Drosophila melanogaster: one gene and its partner. The protein of the gene in region 1 purifies or fractionates together with the protein of each later gene. This does not show direct contact. Each region holds a gene or a part of one and is shown in the gene's direction. Other genes may lie near its edges.

Region 1 (3,756 bases):
ACTAGAGACGGACCCAAATCGGGCCCGTCCATCATCTAATGTATACGTATCTGTATCTGTGCTTGTATCTGTATCTGTGTGTGTTTGACCTCTCTGGCCGCTGACATAAATTGATAAAGTCGGCCGATTGGCGAGGCGATGCCATGAGTAAACATTTGAGAACCGAGCCGAACTAAAACATTCAAATCGAAATCAAAATCAAAATCGAAAATGAAAACGAAAACGAAAACGAAAACGGAGGCGACAATGCAGCCAGTGTTTATTTATTAAAATCAATTTTTACACAAATTAATAGAGCAGGCGGCGAAGTCGTGGAAGTTGAGTTTACTTTGTCAATTTGCGATTTATATGCGCTGTACGATATTTTATTTCGCTTTTCGGCAACTTATCCTCCATCGAAAATTCAAAAATAAACAAATAAAGCAGCTGTCGCTTTAATGGGGATATATCTACCTACACACACACACACACACACATACAGTGAATATAGCTTAATAATGCCCGACGCGTTGGCCTGATTGTATAATTGCTCGAGCGATTCCCGGTAACGATGACATCACGACGTTGGTGTGGTAGGGGGGAGGGGGGAGGGCGGCGCTTAAAACAGGCTCTGGCAGAGAAAAAACCGAATTACAAAAAAAGCTGATAGCAAAAATTCATTACAACAATGACAGACACTTAATCACTTAATAGAGAAAATCAAAAACGAGAGCAGATCAACCAGGCTTTGTGGCGCTGGTGAAATTTTTGCGGCTAAGCTAGATTTAATTACGGATTTCAAACGGAGATAACGAGCTATTCAAACGAACGGCCTATAAAGTATAGTTTAAGGCTAATCAAATGTATTACAACTAATTTAATTAGTCTATCTACACTTTGGCATTGATCCCTAGCAGATATTTACAATTTATTGAGACTGATTAGGCTTTATAGATAAATATATAAAGAAGTTAATAGCTATATCCATTAGAGTAAGCTTCGAATATTAATCACTTCATTAAAACTGTATTTTAAGTTTTTTCTTATTACGTTTTTTTTTTACTCACACTAAAAAATCTCAACCACTTTAAATGCAATTAATGACAAATCTGTAAAAAGTGATTAACTGGAGAGCTAAGAACACAATATTTCAACCCAAATTGGTGAAGGTTATTTGCTCTGCGATGATTAAAGTTTTCAAAGCTCTCGAAATCAATTGATATTCTTCCATCATCCAGATCATTATCGTTTATCAATATGCGTACTTATGAGTCGCCCCTCGTTTCGCAGCTTGGCTTCGCTTGTTTTTGTTTTTCCACACACATTTCTAATTTTTTTGTTTTTGTTTGCCAAAGTTCTCTATCTCCATCTCTATACCCCTCTGTTCTGTTTGCTCCGATCTTATGTATTTCCAAGCCGAGTTTTATTCTCGCTGCGTTCGCTTTGCCCTCGCTCTTCTTCGCTCCCGCCGCCGCAGCTTCAGCGGTCTCTCGCTCTTCCCTCTTCGTCTTGCCCGGTTTCGTATTCTCAACGAGTTCACTTAAAGTTTGGATCACCTCCGCCGGCGAACAGTTTCAGTTTTACCTTTAATGCGAGCACAACAAGTCAGTGGAGAGTCATTCTAATATTCCGTTGGTTTTTTTTTTTCTGTGATCTGAGTTCTTTGCGCCGTGTGATAATTTATATAGTTTTTATGGCCAGGAACTGGAACTATAACTTCTTTGATATACACGTATAATAATCCGAGATTTGGGCTTCTTAGAATTCCATTTTGTTTGATTCTCTAATGATGTATTTATTTTATATGGTTCAGCTTCTTCTTCATAATTCTTATCTATTAATAGTCTTCTAAGAATATAACGTGCCTAGTTTTTTGAATTCAGAATCACAGAATGTTAAAATAAGTCATTTTTCCATAATAATCAGGCATACAAAATAACCTAAAATCTTAAAATCTCACACATAATGTGGGTTTACTCTGGAACTTTCCAACAGTTAACAGTTTCAATATAAATACATATATTTTCCTATTCACAGCTATGAAGCTCTACGCCCTGTTCTCCCTTCTGGTGGGATCTTTGGCCATTGGTCAGATTTCCGCCGCCGGATCTCATCATCTACTTTGTTACTATGACGGCAACAGTTTTGTCCGCGAGGGTAAGTCCCACTTCTAGTTCGTTCTTGGCTATATAGTTGATAAGAATCGGGGTTATCGGTGGAAGGAAAATGTACATATATTACCCGTACGTATGTACATATACATATGTGTATTTTGAAACCAAGAGATAGAGAGCTGCGCGGACTCAATTCAATTAGATGATTTTCACTTTTCATAGACACATGCTAAAAGCATAAAGCGGTGTACTTTTTTGCGATTCTGATAATTGGCAACGGGTCACAAGATCAGAGGGGAATGTTTTGCAACCAATTTGAGTAAATTGCATATAGAGAGGAAAGCCCACACAAAACGCCAGACTTGAACTAATTGAAATTGGCATCGGGTGTTCGACGATGATGATTCATGACCAGAGGTGCCACCTCCAAGGCGCTAATTGATGATGCAAACCGAGCTTATTTTAGTACACTCGAATTTTCAGCTGCCAGTGGAAGATTCACTGAATATAAAGTGTTGGCAATATTAAACACATGCTTTTTCGGGGACAACAATCAAATTTATTGATTAACTCAACGCTTCCTGTTAACAAAGCATTAGTATAATAAGCTTTTACATTCATGAATATATTTCACAATTTCCTTATTCTAAAATGAACATCAACAGGCCTCTCCAAGCTGATCCTAACCGATCTGGAGCCCGCCCTGCAGTACTGCACCCATCTGGTCTACGGATATGCCGGCATTAATCCCTCGAGCAACAAGCTGGTCAGCAACAATGAGAAATTGGACCTGGATCTGGGCAGCAGCCTGTTCCGCCAGGTGACCGGATTGAAGCGCAAGTACCCAGCCCTCAAGGTCCTGCTTAGCGTGGGTGGCGACAAGGACACCGTGGATCCAGAGAACAACAAGTATCTGACCCTGCTGGAGAGCAGCAATGCCAGGATTCCGTTCATCAACAGTGCTCACTCGCTGGTGAAGACCTACGGTTTCGATGGCCTCGATCTCGGCTGGCAGTTCCCCAAGAATAAGCCAAAGAAGGTGCACGGCAGCATTGGCAAGTTCTGGAAGGGATTCAAGAAGATCTTCAGCGGTGATCATGTCGTCGACGAGAAGGCCGAGGAGCACAAGGAGGCCTTCACCGCCCTGGTTCGCGAACTGAAGAACGCCTTCCGTCCCGATGGCTACATCCTGGGTCTCAGTGTCCTGCCCAATGTGAACTCTTCGCGTGAGTTAACATAAATAATTTCGATTGTATTAGATTTCATTTAGTATGTTTTGTTCGAAAGATTGCCCAGCATATTTATTATATATTCAATATGTTTTTGTTTATCTGGTTTAGTGTTCTTCGATGTGCCCGCTATTATCAATAACTTGGACTACGTGAACCTGCACACCTACGACTTCCAGACCCCCGAGCGCAACAACGAGGTGGCCGACTTCCCGGCACCGATCTACGAGCTGAACGAGCGCAATCCGGAGTTCAATGTCAACTACCAGGTGAAATACTGGACCGGAAACCGTGCTCCGGCCGCTAAGATTAACGTGGGCATTGCCACCTATGGACGTGCCTGGAAATTGACCAAGGATTCGGGACTGACTGGACTTCCACCGGTTGCCGAGGCTGATGGTGTGGCTCCTGCCGGAACCCAGACCCAGATACCC
Region 2 (3,756 bases), on another chromosome or scaffold:
TGCAACACACTCTATTTATAGCAGATATAGCGCTTTTCCAAATTGTTTGCCTAGCTTCAAACCTTCTAGATGTGCTTACCAAAAATGAAATATCTATATTATGCATAAGCTTAGCCAGGATTCGCGATTGCCTTGGTTCCATTATCATTTCCTTTCGATCGTTTCTAGTTAAATGGGTGGTTTAAGTTGTAATCAAAATTCAGTTATTAATAGTGACTACTATAAGTATGTTCCTTTGAGACTCCCCGCAGGTTCGTAGATGATGCATATTCCAGACGGCGCATAGGAGTTGTGATTTTGATTTCATTATTTTTCGTATGTGATCATTTAAATTAAGTTAATTGTGATGAGGTTTTTATTTGAAGTTTTTATGAAAACTGTGCTCTAAACCTATGTATACTTAACTGATAGTGTTTCAATACCAATAAATGCTTCAAATTCAAACAAAACAAGTCAAGTCTATATACAATTCTCTGTTTGTGTCTGGAAACCACCTGCACCTGCCTGGCGTCTGGCATACGAATTATGAGTTGACTGGGGACGACACTCGATTCCCAGGCGGCTTCTCATGTTGCAGTGGAAAGTTCTCGCATCTGGCTGGGGCACCTCCATGATCCGAGCCGAGAGCCGCGGGTGCGTTGGCAGCGGGGGGCATTTCATTTGTCAACGTAATTTTGCCAATTCAATTAATGCTCATTTAATGCAGAGCAGGCCGACCGGCCAGCCTACAGCATACACATTGGTGTACAATGGCCCACGGACAACGAAGTGGGCAGTTAAGTGGCCACAAACGGTCGGTCATGCAAACTCAGTGGCAGATCCACAATTACTTTTCCTAGGGGGCACAACTCTCCTAGTATGTACATATGGGGGAATTACGAAAAGCACAGTTTTGCGTATGTGAACATGCCTTTTGGTTCCAAAGTTCTATGAATTTTATTTTCCATTTAAGCCAGTCGCTAAAAAAAAAACCAAAATCTGATTTATACAATCAATAATAAAGACATCAACTAATGACATGAATAATGATTTTGGTTTTGGTATAAAATTGTTTTATATATTCTTAAACAATCGAACGAGCAAGTATGATAACTCAAAGGAATTCCAAATGAAGTTATATTACATCGATGTCATTTCCTAAAATCACGAATATAGCATAAGATAGTTCTATCCCGTGGACCACACCTATGTGATTTGATTTTGGATTTTATACTAACAAGCAATGGGAATCTGAACCGATTTTTCTGCTTATGCTAATGCCACAACTTATATCAGAATCAGCTGATAATATTTCCATTTGAAACTTTGTTGTATAAATTATATTTATTAATAAGAAAAAAAAGAAGGTATATTGACTTTGGCCGGAAAGACGAAACATTTGCGAGCATATAAAGAATATACGTATATTCATGATCAGTATCAGCAGCCAGGTGGATTTCGCTATGCCCACCAGTTCTACTACGCAAACTCAGTTCTACAGATATCTAAATGAAACTACCATTAAAGTTTGTTCTCTAATACTTGTCAGGTAGTATATAAGTAGGAACGGGCCGGATTGGACTTGGGCCATTGCATCACTAGGAATATTCGAAAAAAATGTTGGTCAAAAAGTATTTTAGTTCGGTTTTCGGAATTTTTTAAACAATATATAATTTTGGTTTTAATTTGGTAAAAATCCGACGAATATATATTCCGAACAGTCGGAAAAGTAATTGAAAATGGCAGAAATTAAATCACAGTTCATTTTGATTCACTATGATCTTTATGCGGAATAAAATCTTAGTTTTGATATATAAATTGTGCAATGATATATATCTTTCCTTCCTGTTCTCTATTTAAATTTGGTAATGCGTTCTCTTGGAATGCTAATGTAATGGATAGAAAAATCAAATTAGCTCATCATATAAAAAGAAACAATATAATTGTTATCCTCTTTAACCAGAAGTAAATGCCATTTAAATAAAAATTTTTTTGCTTCATGATAATGGTATATACAAAACTAAGAAAAATTATATCGAGAAAATTACTACTGCTGAACAGTAGTAAAAACCAAATACTGCATTCTAACATTAAGACCAAGCCGAGCGGCATAGCCGCTCTTCTCTATTGCCAGTATCCCTGCAAACTCTTCAATCCTAGATATCATTTTCATATATCAGGTAATCCTTAATTTCTCGTCTCCTCAACAACCTCGACATTATCAAAAAATTCCATAATGAGATTTAAATTACGCCGGCGAGTGCAACTCAATTGAGCGACACTCAAAATCGCCCCACAGTTGAGTGCGACATACCCACATTGAGCGGGGCTCGAAGGTATAAAAGCTGGAGCAGCCCAGACCACAGTCAACAGTTTCCTCCGAGCGAGCATTCAGTCCTCACACAATCTATCACAGAAGCCAAAAAAAATAAGATTCACCATGAAGAACGCTGTTGCTATTCTGCTGTGCGCCCTGCTGGGTCTGGTAAGTGTTGCAAGGAGACAGAAGCCGATGGCAGCCAGTAATCTAAATTCATCCGTTTGCTCCTCGACAGGCCTCTGCCTCCGACTACAAGCTGCGCACCGCCGAGGATCTGCAGAGCGCGCGCAAGGAGTGTGCCGCCAGCAGCAAGGTGACCGAGGCCCTGATCGCCAAGTACAAGACCTTCGACTATCCCGACGATGACATCACCCGCAACTACATCCAGTGCATCTTCGTCAAATTCGACCTGTTCGATGAGGCCAAGGGCTTCAAGGTGGAGAACCTGGTGGCGCAACTGGGCCAGGGCAAGGAGGACAAGGCCGCGCTGAAGGCCGACATCGAGAAGTGCGCCGACAAGAACGAGCAGAAGTCGCCCGCCAACGAATGGGCCTTCCGTGGCTTCAAGTGTTTCCTTGGCAAGAACCTGCCCCTCGTGCAGGCCGCCGTCCAGAAGAACTAGGAGTTCAGCGCAGTTCCACATCAATTCTAGAAGCGAAAGATCAATCAACACGCAAGCAACGCGGCATTTTCGAGTTGAAATCCGCTCAGGCTCTGCAATCCTACGATTGAAATAAAACCATATAATAGTGCTTTTGAATGAAGAATGTTCTTTTTATTATTCACAATATTTCTGAGGGCTGGAAGAGAGGTAGGGCTGCTGGTGGTGGCAGGAATCAAGCTGTTACTCGCATCCTCAATCCCAAAAAACCTTGTCCCGCCCAAAGGAAAGGCATTGATAGCTTATTTAATTCGATTATATTTGTCTTCATCTTTTTCGCTTTAGTAAATTCAACTTCTTTTCTTATCTTCTCTTTACTCTATATATTTTTTTTTTAAATATATAAATTACACACGCACTTTTTATATATTTTGTTGATTTACTTCTTTCCCAAGAGTCTTGTGTTCTTTTGATTTTTTTTTTATATTTTCTTCCTTCTTTATTTGCTTTTGCCATCTTTTAACTTCTTTTATTTGGGGTTTGTGGTTTCTTTTGCGCTTCTTTTATATATACTTATTGTTGTATATACTTTTTTGTTTTTTAAATCAACTTCTTGTTTTTCATAATCTTTTTTTTTTTTTTGATGTTTTATTGAAAATTAAAATGTGTGAAAAGGGGGTGTTTGGTGTTGGGTGCTTCAAAAAACATTATAGCCAAGTCAAGATATTCGTTTTCCTTGTTGATTTTTTATTATTTTCGAGGTCTCTTCTTTTCGCCTGTTTTCTTGCTGCTGATGCATTTTTTATTGAAACGATATTTTTTCTGGCGTTTTCTGTTGCGATTGTTTTCTCTTTTT

What was found. The genes of interacting proteins can lie anywhere in the genome.
Region 2: the proteins of Idgf4 (region 1) and Obp44a purify together in Drosophila melanogaster (affinity purification with mass spectrometry, with the first as the bait; one large-scale study listed by BioGRID). This does not show direct contact.

The regions. Positions count from the first base shown.
Region 1 is NC_004354.4:9,928,735-9,932,490, reverse strand, and holds the start of Idgf4 (imaginal disc growth factor 4), read left to right. Parts: upstream 1-1,542; 5' UTR 1,543-1,583; exon of another isoform or gene 1,584-1,610; intron 1,611-2,016; 5' UTR 2,017-2,018; coding exon 2,019-2,136; intron 2,137-2,758; coding exon 2,759-3,319; intron 3,320-3,433; coding exon 3,434-3,756. UniProt on the Drosophila melanogaster protein: Cooperates with insulin-like peptides to stimulate the proliferation, polarization and motility of imaginal disk cells.
Region 2 is NT_033778.4:8,133,675-8,137,430, reverse strand, and holds Obp44a (Odorant-binding protein 44a), read left to right. Parts: upstream 1-2,115; 5' UTR 2,116-2,419; coding exon 2,420-2,464; intron 2,465-2,534; coding exon 2,535-2,921; 3' UTR 2,922-3,261; downstream 3,262-3,756.